4 linked regions of the Elephas maximus indicus genome follow. The protein of the gene in region 1 purifies or fractionates together with the protein of each later gene. This does not show direct contact. Links are inferred from orthologs where the notes say so. Each region holds a gene or a part of one and is shown in the gene's direction. Other genes may lie near its edges. The genes, in order: SSRP1, TOP2A, TRIM24 and histone H2AX.

Evidence for each region.
Region 2: the proteins of SSRP1 (region 1) and TOP2A fractionate together in Homo sapiens (co-fractionation; 3 studies listed by BioGRID and IntAct, with this or other methods). This does not show direct contact. The link is inferred for Elephas maximus indicus from reciprocal best matches to the Homo sapiens genes SSRP1 and TOP2A.
Region 3: the proteins of SSRP1 (region 1) and TRIM24 purify together in Homo sapiens (affinity purification with mass spectrometry; 3 studies listed by BioGRID and IntAct, with this or other methods). This does not show direct contact. The link is inferred for Elephas maximus indicus from reciprocal best matches to the Homo sapiens genes SSRP1 and TRIM24.
Region 4: the proteins of SSRP1 (region 1) and histone H2AX purify together in Homo sapiens (affinity purification with mass spectrometry; 4 studies listed by BioGRID and IntAct, counting the BioPlex papers as one, with this or other methods). This does not show direct contact. The link is inferred for Elephas maximus indicus from reciprocal best matches to the Homo sapiens genes SSRP1 and H2AX.

The regions. Positions count from the first base shown.
Region 1 is NC_064825.1:118,746,773-118,753,831, reverse strand, and holds the start of SSRP1 (FACT complex subunit SSRP1), read left to right. Parts: upstream 1-4,047; 5' UTR 4,048-4,182; intron 4,183-4,665; 5' UTR 4,666-4,786; coding exon 4,787-4,840; intron 4,841-5,264; coding exon 5,265-5,450; intron 5,451-6,309; coding exon 6,310-6,415; intron 6,416-6,695; coding exon 6,696-6,886; intron 6,887-6,965; coding exon 6,966-7,059. Other genes in the region: P2RX3 (P2X purinoceptor 3), read right to left, coding at 2,004-2,122. UniProt on the Homo sapiens protein: Component of the FACT complex, a general chromatin factor that acts to reorganize nucleosomes. The FACT complex is involved in multiple processes that require DNA as a template such as mRNA elongation, DNA replication and DNA repair.
Region 2 is NC_064837.1:47,551,348-47,558,183, reverse strand, and holds the start of TOP2A (DNA topoisomerase 2-alpha), read left to right. Parts: upstream 1-3,811; 5' UTR 3,812-3,925; coding exon 3,926-3,946; intron 3,947-4,742; coding exon 4,743-4,898; intron 4,899-5,108; coding exon 5,109-5,199; intron 5,200-5,491; coding exon 5,492-5,555; intron 5,556-6,836. UniProt on the Homo sapiens protein: Key decatenating enzyme that alters DNA topology by binding to two double-stranded DNA molecules, generating a double-stranded break in one of the strands, passing the intact strand through the broken strand, and religating the broken strand.
Region 3 is NC_064826.1:11,560,878-11,568,212, reverse strand, and holds the start of TRIM24 (transcription intermediary factor 1-alpha), read left to right. Parts: upstream 1-4,321; 5' UTR 4,322-4,550; coding exon 4,551-4,908; intron 4,909-7,335. UniProt on the Homo sapiens protein: Transcriptional coactivator that interacts with numerous nuclear receptors and coactivators and modulates the transcription of target genes.
Region 4 is NC_064835.1:11,567,115-11,573,220, reverse strand, and holds histone H2AX, read left to right. Parts: upstream 1-4,755; 5' UTR 4,756-4,817; coding exon 4,818-5,249; 3' UTR 5,250-5,592; downstream 5,593-6,106. Other genes in the region: DPAGT1 (UDP-N-acetylglucosamine--dolichyl-phosphate N-acetylglucosaminephosphotransferase), read left to right, coding at 1-39, 1,734-1,818, 2,439-2,627, 2,985-3,072, 3,239-3,394, 3,470-3,535. UniProt on the Homo sapiens protein: Variant histone H2A which replaces conventional H2A in a subset of nucleosomes. Nucleosomes wrap and compact DNA into chromatin, limiting DNA accessibility to the cellular machineries which require DNA as a template.

The DNA.
Region 1 (7,059 bases):
GGCACCTGTTCTTCAAACCCTGAACCATGGTTGAAATTTTACGTTTGTGGAGATTATTTGATTGACGTACATCTCTTGAGTTCATCTCTTGCATTATACTGTAAACTCCACAAGGATAAGGACCCTATCTATTTTTGCCTCCCATTCTATCCTCGGTTCACAATACCTAAGAAAGACTGCAGACATTTTTTTGCTAAATTAAGGACAATGGATTCCTGAAGTCATGGTGTTCACGGGTTTCTGTGCATGCGGATGGGGTTCCGGCAGGGGGTGGGGATGCAGAGCGCATTGATGTAACTGGAAGGAGCTGCTCCGTCGGGAGCTGTCAGGCTGCGAAATGGATGGGGTTGGATATCAAGATGCCAAAGAGCCTCTCCTGCTCGCTCCTGCAGGCTGGGCTCCAGCCCGGAGTATCAGATTGTGATGAGGAGAGACAAGGGCAGGGGGCCAAGAGGGCTGGTCCAGGAGCCGTCTGTCTCTATCTTCCATCTATCTCCTGCCTGAGGCCAATGGAGGTAGGCCAGTCCCAGAATATGCTGAGGCAGTTTTTGCAGTCACCTGGACCAAAATACCATCTCCTGGGTATACACAATTGCACAGTTGCATATACACACGAACACATAACGTTGAAGAACCAACGTTGGGTTGGGCTTTGGAGATGTAGACATGGAACATTTGCAAACATCATTATCTCACAACACCTCAAAGTTGCAAGGGAACCTCAAGGACATTTCATCCTTCCTTACACCTGAATCCCTTCTCTAATGTCCAGATGTACAGCCTTGTCTACAACATCCATATAACCAAAGCTCGCTGGCTCTCACAAGCACGCGAAGCAAAAAAAATCACTTCGTACACATCTACATGGCTTTCCACACACAGCCTCACACATTATCCCAATCTTTTGGGCAAGCAGACTCACTCGCATGAAGATTCCAGCCCACGTGCACACAGGAGTCCCATCTGACTTTCTTGAATGAACTCATGGCAGTTAGGCACCAGCTTGCTGCCTCTCCCACACAGACCCATTGTCTCAGGGAACAGCACGAGACTAGAGACACGCATATCAGAAAAGAAAACCCTTGAGGGGATTTCCTGGTGCCCACCAGTTTGTGGAAACGATCACGAGAAGGACAGATGCTGTGTTTCTTCCCCAGCCATTGTCTGCTCCATGGCCCTTTGTGTGTGGGGGAGCCTCCAAGAGGTGGGGGCCCAGAGGGGGCTCTTAAGCAACTCCCAGGATGGGCTATACAGCACAAACTCAGGTATAAGCAGGGACTTTATGCTTTCTGGCAAAGGGGAGCATTTCTAGATTTTTCGGGAGGGACTCCACACTATTTTCAGGAAAGTCACTTTTCTCTTCCACTCTTCTCTCGAGTATTATTTGTGCCCATGTTTCTCCCCCATACCCCAAGGGGCAGTTACCCCAGCTTTATCCTACTCTCCAAGAGTAGGGGCTTCTCCCCTTTCCAAGCTCTCTCACCATCTCCCCCATGCTAGGAGGGCAATCTCTCTCTTCTAAATGGACCCTTCCCTCCCAACTGACCCTCCGTTCCACCCTGCCACCAACCTGGTCAACTTGTCACTATCTCCCTTGTTTAAGGGTCTTCCCCTCCCCCTTCCTGGGCTCCCTTATCTTTTGAGACCCCAAATAGTTGACCAAGGGGAATGAGAGGATGTAAAGGGGGGGGTGGTCTGCCTGTTACCTAAGGGGCAGATAAGGGAATGGGGGAAGACAGATGGATCACCAGGGATCTCTCCTGGTGGAGGAACCCACTCCTCAGAGTGTGTGTCTAGGAACCGCTCTCCAACCCTGGAGGATTTACTGGGGTAAAGAACCCACCTGGGGACCAGATCCTGGGTGGGGGTGGCAGAGGCCAGTCCTTTAGGGCATGGCTCCCCAGAAGAAACTGTTTCCCCCCAGAGGGGAGACGCTCAGAAAGCTGGACAGGAAACTTTCAGTTGGTCCTCCCCTCCTAGGACCTCAAGGGCCACACACTCACCCCACAAAGTAAGAGATGATCAGAAGCTGAACAGCCCGGTTGATGATCCCAATAGTCCAGCTCTTCACAACCACCGACTTGGTGGTCTCATAGGTGAAGAAGTCTGATATGCAGTTCATGCTGAGGGTGTGCACAGGGGCCACCCAGAAGGAGCCAAACAGCAGCCTCAGGAGGGAGGGGTCTTCAGGGCAGGGAGACAGAGATGGTGGCCTGGATGGGGCAGCTGAGAGAGGGTTGGGGACGGGGAGCCTGTTCTTTTAAGCCCAGTGCCCAGGCTCTCTCTGCTATTGACAATCTGGGCTGCCAAGAGTCTAGGGCCAGGGCGGAGGACCCCCTTTTTGTTTGTCTCCACCCCACTCCCCCGTGATGTCACGGCAGGGGTGGGTCTCCAGTCCTGGGCTCCTGATTGCCTGGGATGCAGCTGGCTAGTAGGGTCCTCTGGGACTCATGTTTTATCTGCATTCTGTCTACAGTTTCTGTTCCATTCTCCTTCACTGCAGCTCACCGCTTTCTCTAAAGCCCCTTGCAATGTCCCATCCCCCAGCCACTTCACAGCCTCCCTTAGCTGAGTAGCCCCTTCATTCCTGAGTGTATGCCTAAAGCTACCCAATTCTGCAGCCATCCCCTGCCTTCCCAGTTGCCTCCAATAGCATGGGATGGGGGCGGGGGGAGGGTCTCTTGCACGGTCTCTTGGAAGGGAGTGAGTACAGAATCACACATTTCTAACTCCAGTTGGCAGTAACTGAAGCTTTACCTGTAGCATGGCAGTTATCACATTTTTTTTTTTTTTAGTATGTGAATCATTCATTAGATTACGTGTTCCTGGAAGGTTGGGGCTACTTCCATCTTGCTCACCAGTTTGCTGGAAGCCTAGAAACATGTTGGGTTAATAATAAGCCCTTATATTGGATTCAATTGAATTTATGTTTCTAGATTGTGCTGGAACAGCCACTACACAGAAGTTAAAGGTATGAGTTCAGGTGGCATTGGTGCATTCCTGTCATCTCAATCCCAGGACAGAGTGAGCAAGCTAGCTGTTTTCAGTCAGATTGTTAGGGAAACCTTGAATTTAAATATTCTGTCCTAATGGGTTGTTATGAGTTGAAGTCCTCGACTGCAACAACTTTGGTTTTTTCGGTCCTAATGTCATGCAGGGCACGTTATCAAGTATTCTGAATGCAGCATCACTGTCATTATGACTGACTGGACTGGGGTAAGGAGATCTGGGTTTTAGTCTCCAGCTTCCTCACCAGCTCACTGAGACCTTAAGAACTCCTTTTGGGGCCTCGGTTTTTCTAACTGCAAAAGGAGGTTGGATTAGATGAACTGAAACATCTCCTCCCGGTCTGGTCTCTGATTTTGCAACATGCACCTTGGGACTATATGAGAAGGGCCTAGCTTTCGCAATCCGGGACTGATGGGGTTTCAAATCAGTTCCGGCTCCAAGGTGAATCTGACACCAGCACTTGAACTTGATATGGCCGTTTGCCAGCCTCTTCCAGGAGAACATAAATTGCAGTTATGGATGTGAGGTTTTCGGGTGCAGGCAGTGAAGTCACTTCAAAAAGGGACCAATCCCACTTGACAGGACACAGCTAGAGAGCAGTACGGTCACAAGGACACCAACACCAGCATTCTCTTTGCATCTGGTGGGAAGGGTCATTTCTCTCCATGAGCTTTAAATATTTTTCTGCTTCTTTCACAGACTCTTTTGTACTCCACAGAAACCCCTACTGTGCAGGAGAGAGATAGGGGCATGCATCGTTCCAACACAGACACACACGTGTGTGGAGAGTCTGATGAAGTAAAGCTCCACAACTTCCCTTTAGAACCTAGTCCTCCACGGAAAGGGTGTCTGTAGCTTTCTAAAGACCCCATGTGCCTCCCTTTTCTAGTTGAATTCCACGGCGTAGGGCGCGCCGACGCACTGCGCCCTCACCTCCCACAGGTCCTCCCGAGCTGGGGACGCTCTATGTGACCGCCTCACAGGCGGGCCTGGATCGCGCCCCTCTAGCCGGCTCCTCCTCTCTATGTTCTGTGCGCGGCTTCCGGTGGCGGGACGCGGGGACGCGCACGCGGGAAAAGCATCCTCTGCGTTTCCCCTACCCCCTTCCCCCCTCTTGCGTCCCCCAGCGCGCCCACCGCCCGTGCCGGGGCCCTAGCGAGGCTAGAGCTTGAGGTAGGTGGCCGTCGACCTCGTGCCCCAGGAGGTCGCGGGCCTCGCTCCCCCGCGGGACTCTCCGGATGGTTCGTTCCGCGTTCGAATCCGCGGGAAGCGGGCGATTCCATTTTAGGAAACGGGGGGAGCCGTGGGGCTGGGGCGGCAAGGTGGGAGCGCTGGAAGGGAAACCCTGCATCCTGAGCTGTGATGGGGGGAGGTGCAGGCTCCGAGCAGACTTTGGGGTTCTGCTGCTCCTTGCCATGGTGCCCAGTGGGGCGCCCAAGCGGATGTTTGGTTGGCGTGTAAGCACTGTTCTAGGCCCAGTTCCCCAGCCGAGTCTGGGCCTTGCCCCTGGAGCTGTGCACAGTCTGCCCGTGGGGGCTCCCAGGCGGAGCAGATCCTGAGACATCACAGGCGCAGCCAGGGTTTGCCACTTGGTTCCAGTGGAGAGCATAGTGAGGTGTTGTCTCCTATGTTTATCTATCCCCCTCTTGAATTCAGATCCTTAACCTGCTGAGCATCTATACAACCACCAAGGAGTTGGGGCCCAGCTCCCATTTTCTCCTGTTCCCCCTTGTGCAGCCTAGGGCCCTGTGCCCAGGCCAACAGGGGCCAGGTCAGCATGGCAGAGACACTGGAGTTCAACGATGTCTATCAGGAGGTGAAAGGCTCCATGGTGAGAAGGATTGGGCTTTTAATACAGGGGGAGGGAAGGGGAGGGAAGTAGCGTTCTTCTATTAATAAGAGCTTGCTTTGATGACGTTACTAGTGTGGCAAAGGAGGACTCAGAATATTATATGTACCTGGTGTTTCCCCAACAAAAGGCAGTACTGAGCAGAATTCCTAGAGTAAAAGGATCGCAGCCTAAGAAGGCATCTTAGATGCTGTTCAGTCCCAAGTCCTTGTTACAAATGAGGAAACTAAGTACCTGCAAGGGTTCTGGGTGCCAGAGTCAGGATTAGAACCCAGGCTTCTTACTGGCCCTCACCCCTTCAGCTGTTGCTCCTACATTGATACCCCGCCAGCCCACCAGCCGCAGAATGGGGCATTGGTGAGACTGCACATTACCATCTGTACCTCTGGGCCTATTTTTCTGACAGAATGATGGTCGACTGAGGTTAAGCCGCCAAGGTATCATCTTCAAGAACAGCAAGACGGGCAAAGTGGACAACATCCAGGCCGGGGAGTTGACAGAAGGCATCTGGCGCCGTGTTGCTCTGGGTCATGGACTTAAACTGCTCACAAAGAATGGCCATGTCTACAAGTATGACGGCTTCCGAGAGTCGGTGAGCTGCCCTGTTGTGATAAATCCCGTTTTTGCTGTGCTGTTTTGTTTGTTTTTAATCTTTTGGAGAGAATTGGGCATCCTTTGTCTGATAACCATGTAATTGCTATTTTGGGCTCCTTAGAGTGAGGCCAGAGGTTCCTAAGTGGTGCAGACTGTCTGTGCTTGACTACTAACCCAAAGGTTGGAAGTTTGAACCCATACAGCTGTGCTTCAGAAGAAAGACCTGGCCATCTGCTTCTGTAAAGATTACAGCCTGACAAACCCTGTGGAGCAGTTTTAGTCTGTAACACATAGGGTCTCCTTGAGTTGGAATTGAAGGCATTGGGTCTGGTTTTGACATTTAGGGTGGGGCCGTCAAGGACACCAAGCAGTCAGTACTCAACCTTGGGTATTGTGTCTTTGTGCCTCAATTCCAGAAGATGTTCTCTTTTGATTTAGGTGATGGCTGCTCTCACTCACTGCCCTTATTCAGGTTTAGAATCTTAGCTTGATGCTTTAGTTTTAGTTTTGATTTTCCATTTTGATTTGCTTCCTAACCAAGACTTTTCCTCGTTTTAATCTTTACTTTTACTAAGGTGATATCCATACTGAGTTTAAAAAGTCTGATAGCACTGCCAGGCTCATAACCAGGAGTATCAGTGCCTAGCTTTACCCCTCCCCCAGCATGAGATCCGTTCCCCAGAAGTAGGTTCTTTCAACATTCTTTAAAACTCTTACTGCTGAGACTGAATCAGCGTAGGTTTCTGATAAAGAGTATATTAGGGTAATTTCTCAGAGATAGATCATTCCGGGACATTCAAGTCTGTTTAGGAACACTGGGGTTTACTGGGCTCAATCTCTCTCCCTTCCACCCACAGGAGTTTGAGAAACTCTCTGATTTCTTTAAAACTCACTATCGCCTTGAGTTAATGGAGAAGGACCTGTGTGTAAAGGGCTGGAACTGGGGGACGGTGAAATTTGGCGGTGAGTCCTGGGTAGAATGACGTTTGGGGGAAAAGGTAGGATGAAGGCGTATAGCCTTTAACTTGCTTGGCTCTCTTTCCTCCTCATTGTCTCTGGTTTCCTATCAGTTTGTGTGTTGTTTTTGCATTTATTGAGCACCTCCTAGTACATCAGGCATTGGGGTACAGCGTGAACAGAATAGCCCCAGTGCTCTGACCTCACATTACTTACAGTCTGGTGGGGACGTTGTTCATGCAGGCTCCAGGGAGGAGCTTGTGACTTGATAAGTCCTCCCCCACAGGACAGCTGCTTTCCTTTGATATTGGTGACCAGCCAGTGTTTGAGATACCCCTCAGCAACGTGTCCCAGTGTACCACAGGCAAGAATGAGGTGACACTGGAGTTCCACCAGAACGATGACGCAGAAGTCTCTCTCATGGAGGTGCGCTTCTACGTGCCTCCCACCCAGGAGGATGGTGTGGACCCCGTTGAGGTGAGCCCTCCCCTGGATTCCTTGGGGGCGGGTGGTGCTGAGTGGGCCTTGCCACCCAGTAACCAGTATGCTTTTGCAGGCCTTTGCCCAGAACGTGCTATCCAAGGCAGACGTGATCCAAGCCACAGGAGACGCCATCTGCATCTTCCGGGAGCTGCAGTGTCTGACTCCCC
Region 2 (6,836 bases), on another chromosome or scaffold:
TGCTCACATGTAAGACACTATGCCCTACAACTCCCTGTGTGGTCTCAGACTGGTGCATAATAGATGCACAGTAATACTTGTTGGTTCACTGAGCCTCTATTCTACCCCACCTCACACCCCACCCTACCCCTGCTTGTGTCTCAGGCTTGCCTGGTGAGAGAGGCTTGGAGGGGCTTCCTGGAGCCCCCAGCCAAAATAAAAAGGTGATCTACACTGAGGTAGGTCTCTGTGAGGGCAGAAGAGGCCAGTGTCCCCAGGCCATTGCTCGCCTACTTTATGGCCATTCCTCCCTCTTTCTCTTCCACCTCCTTTTCCCCCCCAAAACAACATCCCCAAATATGCCTTGCTAATCTCACCTCCCACTCTTGGCTTTGAGGAGGCAGTGTGAGTAGTACAACACCTAATATACCCAGAATTATGTGATCTTGAATGTGTCTCTTCTTATATGTCAGTGAATCCTATGAAAATGTCTTTCTTCTCTCTGGATAAATAATTCCAGATGCCTCCCCATACTCTCTTCTCTCTTCTGTTTGCTCAAGACTTAAGCCAGTGGCATACCCTGCCATTCTCCTCATTCCTTCACATGCTCCATCTCTTTCAAAGTGCTCTGACAGAAGGGGATACTCCGTTCTCTGCTTTCTGCTACCCCTAGTACCTCCAGTACCACCAACCCGACACCTTCTAGCTCCAGGTAGCTCCCAGGTGGCAGAAGTAGGAGGGTGTCTACAGAGGTACCCCATGACTGCCCTGTCTCTGCTTCCAGAGGATGGACTTAGCCTGGCTCCCACCTCTCTGCGGAGCTCAGATGAGACATGTCAATGTAAGAGTGCCTCACCCACCCTACCCCCACCTCACTCTCAGCTCCCATCCTGGACCCGGTTAGTCTTGGCCTCCCATCCCACTAATGGCAGAAGATCTGAGATTGGGGAACTGAAAGAAAGAAAAGGTGTTGGGGAAGGTGCCCTCTTAGTATGTTCAGAGAAGGCCTGGTCTCCCTTGGGCTGTCTCTGACTTTGGGGCAATGAGGAAAAATGGGATGGAGAGCTCACCCCTCAGTCCCATTCCCACCCTCTTCCTTTGCAGGCTAGCTCCCTCCTCTGGCCCCCAGGAGTCTTAAGTAAAGGCTCTTCTGCCCCCTACCCCCACCATGGCCTCCTGGAACTGACTCCCCCTCCTTTTTTGCCTCTCAGGGCCAGCAGCTGACAGGTACCTGGAATTGCCTCTTTGTGGGCAATGCTTCCCAAGCCCACTCTTCCCAGACTTCTATCTCCTTCTTCAAATGCTGCTGCCAAATCCTGCAAGACCCTCTGCAGTAAGTTCTGGGAAGGAGACAGGGCTGGCAGAGAAACAGCTTGGGCCCAGAAAGAAGAAGAGGGACTGGGGGAGAAAGTGTCCAAAGCAAGACCATCCTGGGCTAGCAGGAGGGAGGAGGGTTATCCTAAGTGTTTCTCTATCTCATTCAGCCATCTGTACCTTTGATAATGACATGGGGAAACTGAGATTCAGGGAAAATTCTGACACAGGACTTTACTCCAAAGTCATTTTGGCTCCACAGTTCTGTTTCTGGGTTTCTGGAACTGAAACTCACACAGTCAGTATCAGATTAGGCTTCAGGGGAGACTTTAAACTGTACCCCAGAAAAAAGGGTAGAACTGTTGCCTCAGCCACAGATGGCATGAGCTACAATGTAGAGGCCAGGAGTGGCAGAGGCTAGACTGCCATCCTTGGGGAAGCACGGTAACTTCTCCCTCCTTATTCTCCTACATGACCGTCCACCCCCACCCTCTTGGGGCCTCTGTGTTCCAGGAGTCAGAAGGCAGCATGGCTGGTCTCTGACCGGCCGGGCCATCCTGAGTCCTAGAGAAACTGCAAAGAGTGGCACTCTGCCCCTGAGCCAGGGTCTGGCCAGCTTTCTGGGCAGAAGCTACTGGATGGGCTTCTCTACAACTGCTCTGAAATTCTGGTGGTCCCTGTGCAGCAAGGTTGTCTTCCCAGATCAACACAGAGCTGAAAGTAGAAACTCCTAGAAGTCAGGCAAAAACAACAACAAACCCATTGCCACCAAGTTGATTCCAACTCATAGTGACCCCAGAGGATAGAGTAGAACCGCCCCCCCATAGGGTTTCCAAGACTAAATCTTAGTGGAAGCAGAGTGCCACATCTTTCTCCTGTGGAGTGGCTGGTAGGCTTGAACCACCAACCTCTCAGTTAACAGCTGAGCACTCTAACCACTGTGCCTCCAGGGACCCATTAGAGGTCAGGAAAAAAAAATAGGATTAGAGGAACTCCACAGCTCCATTCCTTGGCTTTCTCAATCATCCTAGCCCTGTGGGCTACTTCTGGCTTTCTCAATCATCCTAGCCCTGTGGGCTACTTCTATCCTTCGCTTCCTAACACATTGCTCCCCACCCCCACCCCCACCCCCCGAAGTGTCCCTCCTCCTTGGGCTTTGCCAGCAGAGTAAACATTGGATGCTGGCTTTGTTTAACAATGGTCGGCCTCTGGTTTCTTTTACAATGAAAAAAAAAAAGAATTAAATCCACAAATTGTCATGCCAGCCTAAGGATAATTCCTGCTTCTCATTTTGATGTTGTTAGTCTACTATTCTAAACGCCTCACATTTATCTCATGTAATCTTCACACAACTCTGAGGTAATATTATTCCCCTTTTTAGCAAAGGAAACTGAAGGACCGGCAAGCTTCCTCCATCATCACACGACTGGCAAATTGCAGATTATTACTAAGGGAGAAATAATCGGAAGGAGTTGGCTCAGATGTAATTAGTAATCATCCTAATTGTGCGGTATTTTTTTCTAACAACTTGTAAGGGCAAAAACAATGGGGGGGGGGTTCTTTTTTAACTCTGGATTGACGAAGAAAGTATAAATCCAACCATTTAATTTATAAGTCAGAATTCGTTATCAATTTGGCATTTCCTAGTCAAATTTGAACGCCAGCTCTGCACTGCAGAATTGAATTCTGAGGACAGCAAAAGTAACAAGTACTAGGGCATCCTACTGGCAGTCTAAGGAAAAGATTTCAGTTCCAGAACGACCCCTAAATTTAAAACATATCTCTGCGAGACTGGCGGTGATTTATTCCAATCTTCTTATTTATCGGTTGCAGTCCGGCGCTGCACTAGTGGGGGACTTGAAGGCTGTCCTCTATTTTGCATGGCCTCTTTACAATCTTCTGTTAGGGAAACTAAAAGCCACAAGGATAGCACACTCGTTTCTTTGCAATTAAATTCCTGGGGGGAGGGGAGGTTGAGGCAGGCTCCAGAACTTGTTCGCTTAACCAAACCACTGGACTGCCTGTCCTGAAACCCCGCGCTTAGTTTCCTCAGGAAAATGGTGCTAAAATCCCTATTTCTCTCGCTAACAATCTCTGGACGGTTTTTAGATTTAGGGGCTCTGAATAGGTTAGTGATTCCCAGAAAATAAACAGCCTTCACGTTCTCCTTTCTTTTCGCTCTGAGCCGGAACCTCAAAAAACGCCTTCCACCTTCCACACCTCGTCTCTACGGAGTTTTCCGCGCCGAGAGGAAAAAATGACTTCTCCTCATTGACCAGATTCCCTGTCTGTCTCTCCGATAACGACTTGGAGTGGTGCCTTTTTGAAACCCTCTAGTCCCGCCTCCCTTGTCTAATTGGTTCATTCGAACAGGCCCTCAAACAACTCCGCCGTTCATAGGTGAATATGAAAGACCAGTGACGATTGGTTGTTCTCGACAGAGCCGGAGAGAGAGAGTCAGGGACTGGCTTATCCGATTTGGGCGGGCTAAAGGAAGGTTCAAATGGGGCAAGGTGCGCTCTCCTAACCGACGCGGATCTGTGGAGAAGTGATCTGGTGGTTCCCGGTCGTCTCGTGGCTTCCGCCGGTTTAGTCGCTTCCAGGGTTCTCGAGCCCCTTCACGATCGTCACCATGGAGGTGTCACCACTGCAGGTACAGCTCGCGGAGGGGCCCGGTCGTGGAGCCTCAGCGCGGTTCGGGCATCTCTGGCGACCCGTGAGGGGTGAGGGCTTCTGGGCCGCGGTGCGGCCCCGCGGCGGGCGGAGAGCCCCGGCTCTCCATTAGAGCTCCCTGAAGGGTAGGGAGCCCATATTCCCTGTGGAGCCCCACTCCCTGGGCTCTGGGTGATGGTGAGTAGGGCGAGCCCCCTTTGTAGTGCTAGTATTGAAGTACTACCGGCTAAACGGGCTTCCGGGGGGAGTGTTGTGTTTTAGACTGCTTCTAGGGACCGCATTCATTTCGGTCTGTGGTAGATCTGTACTCTAGTGGTCTGCGTGTGGCGTCAAGTAGCGCATCCATGCTTTCCTCTCTCCCCTCTGTGGAAAATGGGGTTGAATGTCGCTGATCTGGGAAGATGCTGAGGATGGCACGGGGTTCCCCATCCGAGGAGCCGGCAGACCCGACACGGTGGGAGGGGAACTCAGTAAATATTTGTGTAGCTGAACGAAGTGGGTGGATTTTAGTGATGACCTAAGGCAGTGTTCAAGGAAAATGTTTCCCTTCAGATGCACCTGGTGAGATAATACGTATGTTTATTGAAATTGACGCTGGCTGCAGTTAACTGTAATGGCCGTTTTGGTACAAAACTGAACTCCACCAATGCCTGCTAGAAGTTTGCAATTTGTTATAGTGGGTTTAAGTGTATCGTTATGATGGAGATTTTTTGTTCATAGTTTCTGATAAATCAATGATTAAAAATTCCTTTTCTCCCATTGTTTGAAATTGCTAGCCTGTGAATGAAAATATGCAAATCAACAAAATAAAGAAAAATGAAGATGCTAAGAAAAGACTGTCTATCGAAAGAATCTATCAAAAGAAAACGCAATTGGAACATATTTTGCTCCGCCCGGACACCTACATTGGCTCTGTGGAATTAGTGACCCAGGTAAAATCAAGCTAATGAAAAGCAGTTATTTAGTCGTTAAAATGTGTTCTTTCGCAGATTAACTTTCTATATCTCACGTAGTTTGTCACTGGAACTGGCCTTAGCGGTCATACATCTATTGTAGTGTTAATCCAGAAGGCTATGGTAATCATGATGGTAAAGCAGAATAAAGAATAAAAATAACTATATATTTTTTTGCCTTATTTCTAGCAAATGTGGGTTTACGATGAAGATATTGGCATTAACTACAGGGAAGTCACTTTTGTTCCTGGTTTATACAAAATCTTTGATGAGATTCTAGGTGAGTAAATTTTTTCACCTAAAGATTTATAAGTCAGATCTTTCACAGGTATCATTCCTATCAAACCCTTTGTTCCAGAGCTCCTGTGATTTTGAATAGTTGGAAAAAATGGGGCCGTCTCCTGGAGCCCAGGAAATTGAATTCTTTTCTAGAAACAGTACTGTGGACAAAAATTGCTAAATTAACACCTTGTTAATGCTACTCCTGTGCTATTTGGGAAATTTTTTCTACATGTTAAAGAATGTTTTCAAAAAATACTTTTCTTACAAATGTGTATTTTATTGTCTTTCAGTCAATGCTGCGGACAACAAGCAAAGGGACCCAAAAATGTCTTGTATCAGAGTCACAATTGACCCGTATGTCTTTTTGCTTAGTCTTTTGTTATATCAAATTGTTAGTGTTATTCCTAGTTGCATTTACTTTGGCTGCTAGTGAAGTTGGCTTTTTTTTTTAAATAAAAACTTTGCAAAAAAAATCAGAACATTAAAATGAACACCTACAGTACCCACCACCTAGATCCAACAGTTATTGACATTTTGTCATATTTACTCCATCTATATATATATTTTTTGAATCATTTCAAAATAAATTGCAGATATCATGACACTTCAGCCCTAAATACTTTAGCAAGCATCTCCAGTAAATAATTTCTCTAAGTATTCTGAAGCCTAGAGTTTTAACTTTTCTTCATGATGCTATTCAAATAATGAACCAGCAGATGGTGGTAGAGAATAGGTATAAATGCTGGGTGTCCCTTAGTGGGTGGTCAGGGTACTTGTTTTACCTTTTTATTAGCCTGGTCACTTGTGAAGTAAACTACACCTTAGGCTCTTTTTGTAAGTGTTAATGATGAAGTACTTGGATACTCCCAGGAACCTGATGATTGTCTTTCAGAAAATGTTAATTGAGCTAGTTTTGGTCTCTTATAGGTAATATTATGTCTTATTTAAAATAAGAATCATAGTGTGTGCCAGTTATAACGAAAATATATCCTGTCTTCTGAGAGTTAACCTAAAATAATAGTAAGTCCAACTTTTCAGCATTTTATTGGTAAGAAGTCTCATTTATGATTGATAATGTTTTTCCCTTTTATATTTGTTTTGCACTGTGACTTTTTGGGTGTATGTCTTAGATATGTAGTGCTGCTATAATAGGAATACCACAAATGGATGGCTTTAACAAACAAATTTATTTTCTCACAGTTTAGGAGGTTAGAAGTCCCAATTCAGAGCACAGGCTCTAGGCATAGGCTTTCTCTCTGTCAGCTCTTGGGGAAGGTTCTTGTCCATTTAGCTTGTTTCCTGGTTCTTTGGAGCATCAATCTTCCACCATCTCTGCTTCTCTAGCTTGCTTGTTTGATCTCTTAATATCTCAAAAGAGATTGAGTCAAGTTACGTTATACTAATCCTGTCTCATTAACATACAAAGACAACCCATTCCCAGGTGGGATTATAACCACAGGCATAGAGGTTAGGATTTGAGGGGGACACAACACAGTTCAATCCATAACAGTGAGAACGCTAAAGGAACTAGAGTACAGGTGATCCTCTTAAAATCAGTAAAATAATATTGTTTCCAACTTTTGTCTTTTTTTTTTTTTCCATTTGGAATAAATCATTTCCCTTTGTTTATGCTAA
Region 3 (7,335 bases), on another chromosome or scaffold:
ATGGCATGTGCTACTTTTGTGTTCAATCACTGTTTATTATTATAGTCACATTTAAAAAGTTACATCATGGATAGCTAAGACACACACACACGTACATGTATAAATATTGTTGTTAGCTTGTTAGGTGCTGTCAAGTCGATTCCAACTCCTAGTAACCTTATGCACCACAGAACGAAACACTGCCTGGTCCTGCACCATCCTCACAATCCTTGTTATGCTTCAGTCCATTGCTGCAGCCACTGTGTCAATCCACCTCTTTGAGGGTCTTCCTCTTTTTCACTCACCCTCTACATTACAAAGCATGATGTCCTTCTCCAGGAACTGATCCCTCCTCATAACATGTCCAAGGTACGTGAGACGTAGTCTTGCCACCCTTGCTTCTAAGGAGCATTATGGTTGTACTTCTTCCAAGACAGTTTTGATTGTTTTTGGTATCCATGGTATATTCAATATTCTTCTCCAACACCACAATTCAAAGGCTTCAATTCTTCAGTCTTCCTTATTCACTGACCAGCTTTTGCATACATATGATGAGGTGATTGAAAACACCGTGGCTTGGGTCAGGTGCACCTTAGACCTCAAGGTGACATCTTTGCTTTTCAACACTTTAAGAGGTCTTTTGCAGCAGATTTACCCATTGCAATTTGTCTTTTGATTTCTTGACTTCGGCTTCCGTGGATATTGATTGTGGATCCAAGTAAAATGAAATCCTCGACAACGTCAATATTTTTTCCGCTTATCATGATGTTGCTTATTGGTTCAGTTGTGAGGATTTTTGTTTTCTTTATGTTGAGGTATAATCCATAGTGAAGGCTGTGGTCTTTGATCTTCATCAGTAAGTGCTTCAAGTCCTCTTCACTTTCGGCAAGCAAAGTTGTGTGATCTGCATATCACAGGTTGTTAATGAGCCTTCCTCCAATCCCGATGCCCTGTTCTTCTTCATATAGTCCAGCTTCAAGGATTATTTGCTCAGCATACAGATTGCTGAGTATGTATGGTGAAAGGATACAACCCTGATGCACACCTTTCCTGACTTTAAACCAGGCAGTATCCCCTTGTTCTTTCTGAATGACTGCCTCTTGATCCATGTACAGATTCCTCATGAGCACAATTAAGTGTTCTGGAATTCCCATTCTCTGGAAATGTTATCCATAATCTGTCATGATCCACACAGTCGAATGCCTTTGGATGGTCAATATACCCAGACCCCAGTGCCGTCGAGTCGATTCCAACTTATAGCGACCCTATAGGACAGAGTAGAACTGCGCCATACGGCGTCCTAGGCGGCAATCTTTATGGCGGCAGATTGCCAGGTCCTTCTCTCAAGGAGCTGCTGAGTAGGTTCCAACGGCAGGTTCCAGCTCAGGTTAGTAGCTGAGTGTTTAACCACTGCACCACGAGGGGCCCTTAAGGGACTGGTAGGTGGGCTAAGAAATTTGGCATAGGTAGGTCTCTTTCTATAAGGATGGTACGGGACCACCCAGATCAGAACTGTAGGAGTTGCTTGCTAAATTGAATTAAGGGACAGGCTCTAGAATCTTCTTTTAAAGAAGCTTCCCAGGTGACTCATGCAAACTAAGGTGCAGGAAATCTGTGCCGTACCTAATAAGTAGACACCGAGCGCCATTGTGTAGGGGAACTTCACTCTGCAGACTGAATTTGAGGCCTTGCTTAGGAAAGAGGCTAGCAGGAGGAGAGTAATGGAGAATGTCTCCTGGGAGGGCTTAGATGCCCAGAGTCCACCTTTACCCATCGGCATGGATTCTTCCAGGATAGGCTCAGTCTCAGCAAAGCCTTTCCTGGCCTCATCCTATTTTCTTTTAAGACCCAGTACGACCGTTCAAAGCCACCCGATGGTACTTTGGAAGAAAGACCTGGCAGTCTGCTCCCATAAAGACTGGTGCTCTGGCAGCCAAGTGGTTAGGCGTTTGGCTGCTAACCAAAAAGTTGGCAGTTCAAATCCACTAGCTGCTCCTTGGAAACCTTATTACAGCCTAGGAAAGCGTATGGGGTAGTATTACTCTGTCATGTAGGGCCGATGTGTGTCAGATTGACTCAACGGCCCACAACAACACCAACACTTCATTTGGAGTCCCTGGGTGCCCCAAACAGTTAAGCAATGGGCTACTAACGAAAAGGTTAGCAGTTGGAACCCACCAACCCAGAGGCATTTCTGAAGGAAAAGTCATAACCATGAAAACCTTATGGAGCAGAATTCTACTCTGACCCATGTGACCGAGTTTTTTGGTTTACTATTTCATTTGTACTTAAAAAAAAAAAAATTTTTTTTAAACATTCATGGGTGCACAAAAGATTGTTTCTTACATCCTGTCGCTACATTTCAAGCTCCTTGAAATCTTGACTGTTTCATTGAATGAAAAGGTGTGTAACTCCTGATATACCTATTGCCGTCCAGTGGATTCCGACTCATTACGGCCCTGTAGGACAGTAGAACTGCCGCCTAGGGTTTTCAAGACTGTAAACCTTTACAGGAGCATACTGCCATCCATGTCTTTCTCCCACGGAGCTGTTGCCGAGGGCCCCTTGCTTGATTGAACCCAACTGGATTCGCAACGCCCACTAAGACTATCGAGGCAGCCTGGAGTCGCCCAAGCGTATTTATTTTCCCAGCAGCTAGCAAAAGGAAACAGTAAGGGCTAGAACCTTCAGAGAAACTGTCTCCTGGATTTGCCTAAGAGCCAAGTATTCAAGGGTTTCAAAAAGAAGGGGTATTGATGTTAATTCATGAGGTTCTTGGGGGGAGGGGGGGAGATTTCTGAGGAGGGGTTGGGTTATGAAAATGCAGGTGCGCATGCGGGATTTCTTCAGGATGGAAGTCCTTTGGTTCCCCTTGACATAACTCATTATGGGATGTGATGCAGGCACACTGGTTCCCTTTGACACATTGCCCCCTTTGGCAGGCAAGGGAACGTCAAACAGTGGTTGCTCTTCTTTTGCACACACTCTGTATCGGTGGAGTCCTGCAAGATCTACATTAACAGTTTATTTGCAACATTTTAGAACACCTCCATTTGTTCCACCCCACAGCGGGAACATTTTGCCCCACAGGGCCTGTGTGTGTTCTGTTCCACTCTCCAGCAGGTGGGTTACAGTTGCACCACGTGCCAGTAGGGCAGGTTGTTTATTCCACTCTGTGTCCTGCTTGACTTCTTCCTGGCCTATGTGGAGGCAGGTGAGAGGGGTAAGAGGGGGAGCGGACCAGCCCTGCTCCAGCCTAGTCCTGTCTGTGAGCTGCTGGTAGGCTGGAACCACTGGTCTTTCGGTTAGCGATGAAGCTCTTAACCACTGTGCCACCAGGGCTCCTATCACTCATCAGCAAACCAAAACCAAATCCACTGCCAAGGAGTTGATTCTGACTCATAGAAGTCCCAGAGGACAGAGAGGACAGAGTAGAACTGCCCCATAGGGTTACAAGGAGCACCTGGGGGATTCGAACGGCTGACTTTTGGGTTAGCAGTCTTAGTTCTTAGCCACTATGCCACCAGGGTTTCCTCACTCGACAGAGAGGGGAGTAAATTTAGGCTGCAAATGAAGGCTGCCTCCACAGTATCCTTTTTGCACACTATTTTTACTTAAAAAATTTTTTTCCTCTTATTTTCACTAACTCTTCGTCTCCTACCATATTTAATCCTTGCTTAGGGAGTCCTGGTTGTGCAGCGTTAAGCTCTCTGGTGCTAACCAAAAGGTGGGTGGTTCAAGCCCACCAGCTGCTCCGCGGAAGAAAGATGTGGCAATCTACCCCCCCACCAAAGACTACAGCCTTAGAAACCCTATGGGGCAGTTGTACTCCGTCCTACAAGGTCGCTAAAAGTCGGAATCCACTCGATGACAGCCGTGGGTACAGCAGCCCCACATGCAGGAGAAAACCGGAGTTTTTGAAGCAGTTACTTAATTAGCAGTGTGCTTTTTTAGAGGCAGGCACCGCTCCGTAGGCGGGGCTGACTCCGGCGGGCCCAATCAGGAGCTTGCTGGTTAACGAGCAGCCAGGCTACGCCCCCAGGAGGAGCCGACACAGGCAGGCCCAATCAAGAGCTCCGCGGCTAACAAACGCGCCCTCGTCTCCGCACCGGAGCGCAGCCCCGCCTAGGCCCAATTGGAGGCCGCGGGCCGCGCAGCTCGGGGGCGGGGCCGGGGAGCGCCCCGCCCCCTCCACCTCCCGCCGGCGCCTCGCGGGCCCCGCCGCCCCGCCCCCGCCCCAGGCTGGGCGGTGATTGGGCGGCGCGCGCCGTGCAGCGCTCGTTGCTGAGCCGGCGGTGGGTGGGGCCGGCGGGCCGGCCGGGAGAAAGGCGGGGCGGGCGGCGGTTGGCGAGGAGGAGGGCGCAGCGCCCGGCGCGAGCACCGGTCCCCGTTGACAGACCCTGCTTCCGGCCGCGTACTGGAGGCGGGCCGGCTGAGGCGGCCGCTCGGCCTCCCTCGTCACTCGCCCGCGCGCTCGCTCCCGGTGGCCTGAGGAGGCGGCCTGAGGCGGCGGAGGTCGCGGCGGGCGGGCGGAGGCGCTCCCTCCCCGGCGGCGCGGCGGGGGCAGGACAATGGAGGTGGCTGTGGAGAAGGCGGCGGCGGGCGCTGCGGGCCCGGCGGCGGCCTCCGGGGGCCCGGCGGCGGCGCCGAGCGGGGAGAACGAGGCCGAGAGCCGGCAGGGCCCGGACTCGGAGCGCGGCGGCGAGGCGGCCCGGCTCAACCTGTTGGACACTTGCGCCGTGTGCCACCAGAACATCCAGAGCCGCGCGCCCAAGCTGCTGCCCTGCCTGCACTCCTTCTGCCAGCGCTGCCTGCCCGCGCCGCAGCGCTTCCTCATGCTGCCCGCGCCCTTGCTCGGCCCCGCCGACACCCCGCCGCCCGCGCCGGCGCCCGGGTCGCCGCCCGGAGCGTCGCCCTTCGCCACCCAAGGTGAGGGAGGGGTCGCCGTCCGGGGGCGGGGGCGGGCGGGCGGCCGGCGGCGACCGCGCTCTGCAGCCCGCTCGGGCCGTCCTGTGGCCGGTGCTCGCCGCCGCGTCCCCGAAGCTTTGTCCCGGTGCCTGCGATCCCAGTCGCCCGGTGCAGACCAGCGTCGTTGGAGCCGGAGCCGGAGCCGGAGCCGGAGGGGGAGGGGGAGGCGAGGACTCGGGGACGGGGACTTTGTTGGATGATTGATCGCAGATTGGGTGCCGTCTGTTTCCTATCTCGCACGTTTGGGTCCGTTACCTCCACGCGTCCCCTCCGATGGGGACAAAGGAACCCAGAGCCGGGGTTTTGTTGTCGTGTCTCTTTCGAAGATTTTATTTTGAAAGGAGTGGAACAATCCAGAGCGATTTGAGGCGCCGGGTTTTTTTGTGTGTGTTTTGTAGACCACATCTGGAAATGTTGAAGTTACGGTGGTTATCTTTTTGTGGTGTTTGTTACTGTACAATGAGACTTTTGACAGGCAGTTCTCACTGCTAATGTTAACAGGTTTGAAACATTTATAGTAAGTTACAAGCGCAGTGATTGTTTCTTCTAATAGACTTGTTAGCTGATGTCAGATAAACTCTCATTCGTGGCGACCCCATGTACGCAGAATAGAACTGCTCCATAGGGCTTTCAAGGCTGTGACCTTTCGGTGCCTCTAGGGTTTTTAAAATTTAATATTGAAAATACTCGAACACCTCTTCAAAAAGTACAAAGTAACTGGAAAAATTACTTTGAATAATGTTGGAAAGAAAAATTTGATCACCAAGTCAATTGAAGTTAACAGGGTTTATTGAGTAAGAAACTGTTCACAAACTGGGAGCACCCCAAACTAAAAATGGTGAGGGGGCTTGAGTTTATACAGTTAACATTGCTCTTTGCTCTGATTGGTTAATCACATTTTAATTTTTTTCTTTTGGGAAAGTTCCTCACTGAATGCTAAGCTGGTTTTTCTTAATTGAATGACTGTTAACTCATGCTGATAAGTATTGCTAACCTGCTAACTAATGCTGATAAAGAAAACTTGTCTAAATTTAGATTCTGCATAAAGTTGTTTCTTATGGCTTTTTGATTTTTGTTTGGTTCTTGACCCAGGGGAGCCATTTTAATTCTTGCCTCTATAAAAATATGTAACAACTCCCCCCTTTTGATCATCTCTTCAGGAGTGTTTCTTGAAGATGTGACCAAATGGACATGTTGCTCAGTCACCCTCAGGCAAGTCGTTTTCTTTTTTAATTTGTCTGCTCTACTTAGGTATGACATCGCAGCATCTGTGGCTTCTTTGCTACATACTTGTTGTTACAGAGGAATGGCAATCATTTGTTGAATGTGACACTGTTGAAAAACATTTAAGACTTTTTAGCAAACACATCTTATTAGGGAGATTGTAACAAGAACTATAATGAGGGTAATTCTTTAGAGTTTCTAAGATTCCTCTGAGTTAAGGGCCCCATGGACTTAAATCCACTGAAAAGATCAAGTGGGCTAGAATATGATTCACCTTTTTTTAGCCAGTCTGGATTTTTTTGTATTGCTCATATTTCTTTTTCTACTAAAGTTATTTATGTGAGTGCAACATACACCACCGTGTTCTGTGAGAGGTAATCTCCAACTATTCTATGATCTAGTACTGCTTTAGAGAGAGGATTTAATGGTTGCTTTGCAGTTGTTTTTTTTTTGCAGTTTGGTTTTGCAGTTGATAACTGCCTGTGATAATCAAAGCATTTTTTCTGTGTTATTGGAATAATGTTAAGGTTATTAATAGGGAAGTCAGTTCGGGATTCATTATATATGATACAGCAAGACAATAGAGTTAACAATATAATGGATCAGGCAATTGTTTCTTAATGCTGCTGTGACAGAAATACCACAAGTGGGTGGTTCTAAAGAACAGAAATTCATTTTCTCACAGTATAGGTTGCTAGAAGTCCAAATTCAAGGCACCGGCTCTAGGAGAAGACTCTCTCTATATCACCTCTTAGGGGAACTCTCTTTGACTTTCTGTAGACCTGGCATTCCTTCACTCCTTGGCTGTCTCCCCTTGGCATGTATTTTCTCCTTTGTGCTTTTTTTACTTTTTGTGCCTACCATATTTTTATGCACGTTGCTGAAAAAAAAAAAAAATTTAGTATAGTGCATTTATGAAAACAGTCTTGTGCATGGTCTGCAAAGAACATGTAACTAGTTGACTTGAGTGAAAATACAGTAGTCACTTTTATATCTCAAAAGTGGCTAGGTTTTAGACATACCCTACTCTAATTTAGCCTTATTAACATAACAAAACCGTAATCCCAAATGGGATTACGTCTGCAAGAATAGTGTTTAGGATTTATAGCATGTGTTTTTGAGGGACACAGTACAACCCATAACAGCAATGAAGGCGCATCCTGG
Region 4 (6,106 bases), on another chromosome or scaffold:
CTGCTTCTATCATTGTCTTCAACCTGGTGGAGCTGAATGGTAGGTAGGATTGGGGGTAGGGAGAGAAAGAAGTCTGAGTGTTATATGGCTTTGGGGGATTCAGAAAGAAGCAATACGTGAGTCATTACAGAAGATAAGAGAAGCTATTTACTTTGAAAAGAATAACTGGTATTAAACATGAGAAAGAAAAACAGCAGCTCTGTCATCTATAGCTAAGCTGGCACTAATAGCTAGGCCACGATGTTCTCCTATTGAACATAAATAATGTCACAGTACCGCAGCATCAGACAAGGTCACTCTGTGACCATGATGGAGCAAGACAAAAACCAGACCCCTCCATAATCATGTTTCAGCACCAAGAAAACCATAAGAACACTGTGCAAACCACAAAAATGACCAAACATCCTGGCTAACAAAAGTGACTGTTGCTTCTTTCCAGGAACAATTCAGTTCCTCCTACCTTTTAGATAAAAACTATTAAGGTGTTCAATCATAGAATTACTCACTTTCTGACAGCACCCTGTCCAGAGCAAAACTGCTTCATTGCATCCTCTTCAAAGTGACTCAAAACAAATCCTATACTCAGAGAAGAAACTAGTCTACAGGACCAACAGTCTACGTGAACCGTGCCCTCATCTACCCTGAGACCAGAACTAGATGGTGTGTGGCTACCGCTAACAGCCGATCTGATCAGGGCCACAGTAGATGGATCCTGATAGAAGGGGAGAAAAATGTGGAATTGAACTCAAATTCTTAAGAACTCCAGACTTGCTGGATTGATGGAGACTAGAGGACTCCCTGAGACTAGCGCCCTGAGATACTCCATAAACCTTGAACTAAAACTCCCCCACAAGGTCACCTTTTAGCTAAATAACAGATGGGCCCATAAAATAAAGAATATTACCAGTGAGACTGTGCACCTTTAAAAAATCATGTATACAAGACCAAATGGTCAACAATTACTCTAAAGCAAACATGAAGGGATAAGGGGACGAGGAAACCAGATTACTAGAAACAAACCATCCAGAATGGAATTAACGAGAATGTGACACATTGTGAAAAATGTAACCAATGTTATTGAACAGTTTGTGTAGTAATTGTTAAATGGGAACCTAATTTGTGTGTGTAAGCTTTCGACAAAAACACAGTAAGATATTATTAAATCCTATAACAAGCCCCTCCTAACACCCTCTTAGTGAGGTGTCCCATGGTTCCCCATGGTGTGTGGCTTCCTCAGTCTCCTTTATTGCAACAAGTTAATGAACCCAACATTGATTTCAGTTGTTTCTGTTGGTCTATAGTTGATGGACATCAGCAAGTGCTTATTAGGGCTAAGCACTTTTTCAACATGATCTCATTTAAACCTCATAATAGCTCCATGTGGCAGGTGTTCTCCTCAGCCCTATTTTATGTGAGAAAACTGAGGCTTAGGGAAGTTAAATGTGTCATGATCAAAGGTCAGATAGCTAGGAAGTAAAAGTTCGTATTCAGACCTAGGTTTGAATGGCCTAAACCAGATCTAAGACAGTGACTAGGAAGGTTTCTTGAAAGAGGTGGGGTATCAAGAATTGCCTGGGTGACGTAGAGGGGTAGTGAGTGAGTTCTTGAAAGTGATTTGGGAGAGATGGACGATAAAGCTTGGGATGGAATTTAGAGGCAGACAAAAATAGGACCAAAGTATTGAGGAGAAGTGGCTACTTAACTTTCCCTTTCTTTTGTCCCTGCTCCCAAAGGTGAATATCGGGATGATCATGTCTTTTCCCTCTACTTCATGATACCCTTTTTTTTCACCACCCTGGGACTGCTCTACCATAACTGGTAAGTAGTAGGCCTGAGGATAGGGGAACAAGTATCTGAACTTGTGACAAGGATGGACCTATTCATGACCCACCTCCTGATGGAGTGGCTGCTTGTGCATACTTACGTTGAGTGTTTTCTGAGTCCTCGATTGGTAGTATTGTGAAATTGCTCTCTATCCAGCAGTAGTGCTGTGCGGCCCCAGGAATAGATAAATTCAGGGCCTTGGGTCCTGCAGAGTTGCTGGGAGAACGGGAATCTCCTCTGGAGTCTTCTCCAAGTCCGAACTGAACTAGTCCAGTGCCCAGGGTGTGAGGTGTGAGAAGAAGGGTTGATAACGCCCAGGGGTGGATTAACTGGTAAGCAAGGTATGCACAAGCGTACTTGTGCTTACTTACTAATCTGTAGTGCACAATTTCACATGAGTTTCACCACATCTTGATGTGAAATTGTGCACTACCAATTAGTAAGCATAAGTAAGCCCATGTGTACCTTGCTTACCGGTTAATCCGCCCCTGGGTGTTATCAACCCTTTTTCTCACACATCACGCCCTGGGCACTGGGCTAGCATTAATGATGCCTAATGTTAGAGGCATTAGTAGTGCCTCTTGCCACTGGCTTAGAGTCTTTCCCCCACACAGGTACCCATCACGGGTGTTTGTGGGTGATACCTTCTGTTACTTTGCCGGTATGACCTTTGCCGTGGTGGGCATCTTGGGACACTTCAGCAAGACCATGCTACTCTTCTTCATGCCCCAGGTGTTCAACTTCCTCTACTCACTGCCTCAGCTCCTGCATTTCATCCCCTGCCCTCGCCACCGTATGCCCAGGTAGCCACTTTGGGTACCAGGGTAGGAAAGGATAGGCATTGAAGCTTGGAAGAGACATCATAGCCTTTTCACTTGGGATATCCAAAGCGAGCCTTACACACACGCTGTGCAAAGGGAGTGGGCCCAAAGAAGGACAGACTTGCCATGCGGGTAGCCCTTTATAATTTACAAAGCACATTTACTTAGGTGATCTCCTTTAATGCTCACAGCAGCTCTGATCACACAGTAGTAAGCAGCAGAGCCAGACACAGATCTCAGGTGGACTCCAGATTCAGGGCTGTGCCTATTAATTAACCACTTTGGGAGGAGAGGTCTTTGAGTAGTGGGCCAGTCACATAAAGCTCTCTTCCCCCACAGACTTAATACCAAGACAGGCAAACTGGAGATGAGCTATTCCAAGTTCAAGACCAAGAGCCTCTCTTTCTTGGGCACCTTTATTCTTAAGGTAACAGGGTAACAAGGATGTAAGGCCCTAGGCAGCCATCCTGAAACTGGGGCGTGGGGACCCTAGGCATGCATCATATGCAGGGGGAATTTGGAAGCATTAGGCAAGTCCTCATTCCTAGAGCATAGGTATTAGCTGAGCTTCTCTCCACCTCTGGTCTTTCCAGGTAGCAGAGAGCCTTCGGTTAGTGACAGTGCACCAGGGTGAGAGTGAGGATGGTACCGTCACCGAGTGTAACAACATGACCCTCATCAACTTGCTGCTCAAAGTCTGTGGGCCCATACATGAGAGAAATCTCACATTGCTTCTGCTGCTACTGCAGGTGAGGTTGGGGATGGGGTCTACACCTTATCTCACTTTCTCCATGGTTCTTACTCCAGTCCATTTCTCCTGGCAGATCCTGGGCAGTGCTGTCGCCTTCTCCATTCGGTACCAGCTCGTCCGACTCTTCTATGATGTCTGACTCCCCTGATTATTCACCTCTATCTGCAGTCTCCAGGGTTCCTGACTCAAGAGGAGCTCTTTCTGGACCAAGGCTGCCTCCGAACCCAGGCCTCTCCCACCCTTTGTTGTCCTCCATGTTTGTTCTCAGCATTTCCTTTCCCTTGTGACCATTGACATGCTGGGCCATTATTGCCCTCTAATGACTGTTGAGGTTTGCCTGTGGCTTTCTTCAGCTTGCCACTCTCCCTCTCCATCCTGTCTTTGCAGCCTCTTGAGGTGGGACATGGCAGCTTTTATGCAATTATCCACAACTCAGCTTTCAGAGTCCTGACTTCCAAGGAATATGCTGGGCCTTGAGATAGAACCTGCGCAGGGGATAGGGACACATCTCCGAAGGTGACTTGACATTTAATTATAAATTAAGCGTTCTGATTAGTAAGAGCAGACTGGGTGGGGCTAGGTGCTCCCAATGGTGACAATAAAGTGATGTGTTTTCCTTGTTGTTCCTATGCGTGTATTTCTTATATGGGCATTTTAGAGTAGGATGAGAGTTTTGGTGGGGGCATTTCCCTAATAGGACGCCCGTCTTTTTGCTCCATCCTTTTTTCTTTCAGTACACCAGGCCCCTTCTAGCAAGAAGTGAACAGGAAGAACTGAGACCACACAGAACATGTTGAATAAATATTGAGATCGTAATACTTTAAGCGCTAATACTTGAGGGCCATAAGATTGGATTTATCTGTTTTCTAACATGGAGTCGAACTTCCAGGGTCTCATTTCTTCCCTTTTTCAATCTCCCTTTGCCAGATAGGAGGAGGGAGTGGGGAGTGAGGAGACAGAAGTAGTTTCAGTGTTGACCCTTTTCCTTTAAAAATCCTAGGCCAGCCCAGATTTCCCAGAGACGCTTTAGGAAGCTTCAAACTCCACCCCTTTTGTCTTCCGGTTCTGTTCCCCGGCCTTAGCGTTTAAATCTCGCGCGCTTCACATGCATTGGCTATATCACACCGTGGTTGGACGTCTGCGAGCCACCACTTCTCCTCGCTTTTTTACCCGGGCAAAAGGTTTTCAAATTCGGCCAATCAGCTGGCGTCGTTCCTCCGCCTAGGCGCGTCGCCAAAGGGTTAACAGCAACCAATCAGAGGCGGGTATTAGAGAAAAGGCCCAATCAGGAGGGCGTGGGGGCGGTGCGCCCTGGGGTTATAAAGGCGGCCCCTCGGCCAGGGGGGCAGCAGTTGACTGCGGCGGGGAGCTGGCCGGCGGCCTGTTGAGGCGTTCTCCAACGATCTACTACCTCGCGCAGCATGTCCGGGCGCGGCAAGACCGGCGGCAAGGCCCGCGCCAAGGCCAAGTCGCGCTCGTCGCGTGCGGGCCTCCAGTTTCCAGTGGGCCGGGTGCACCGGCTGCTGCGGAAGGGCCATTACGCCGAGCGGGTCGGCGCCGGCGCGCCCGTGTACCTGGCGGCGGTGCTCGAGTACCTGACTGCCGAGATCCTGGAGCTGGCGGGCAACGCGGCCCGCGACAACAAGAAGACGCGGATCATCCCGCGCCACCTGCAGCTCGCCATCCGCAACGACGAAGAGCTCAACAAGCTGCTGGGCGGCGTGACGATCGCCCAGGGAGGCGTCCTGCCCAACATCCAGGCCGTGCTGCTGCCCAAGAAGACCAGCGCCACCGTGGGGCCTAAGGCGCCTGCGGGCGGCAAGAAGACCACGCAGGCCTCTCAGGAGTACTGAGGGCGCCCGCCCGTAGCGGGGCGTCCCGGCCCTCCCCGTGCCACCACAACGGCCCTTTTAAGGGCCACCACCGCCCTCACGGAAAGAGCTGAGCCACGGCTGGCCCCGAGACGGGCGGCCCCGGCCCTCCGCTTTCCCCCGCGCCCTCGTCTCCCGCCGCCCAGGCCCCGCGCCCCGCCGGCCTCGCTCCCCTCCCGTCCCCTGCCCGCGCCCGCTGCCCGCCCCGGAGCCGGGGTGCAGGCCCTCGCCCTCGGCCGCGGGGAAAGGGACAGCCAGGCCGCGCTTGCAGGAGCCCGCGGCTGTTGGGACTCGGCTCTCGCGCCTGCGCGGCCTGCTTCGGCGGCGCTCTGGGGCGGCCCTTCGGCGCGTGGTGCCGGGGACGAGCGGGGCCAGCACCTGCTGTCCGTGCTCGCGGCTCGCCGCCGCCAGGCCCCGGACGCGCCGGAGCGAGGCGCGTGGCCGGCGGCGCCGCGGCCTGAAGGTGAGTCGGTTCGAGCAGCCAGCCCGGCCCCCAGCGGCTGCAGCCTCGTCCCCGGTACTCCTCCAGCTTGGTGCTCAGCCCAGGACCTCTGATTTCCAGGCTTCGACGGGAGAGAAGTCGGTCCCTAATTTGCTCTGGTGCCCCCCTCGCTGCCAAATCATGGGGCTTTCACATCAGATCCTCTCCGTCTTAACTCGCAGGCCTGTCCGGCGGGCCAGGGTCAAACTCGTCCTAAGGTGACCATCTTTTCTCCAGAGGTGGCTGCTGTTGGGGTTCACGGTTAGCGGCGTGGCCAGCACGAGTCGTGGATGTGCCTGCAAGACCGGCAGCCAGGCCTGCCCACTCCACCCTGATGTCCCTCCCGGCAACTCAACTC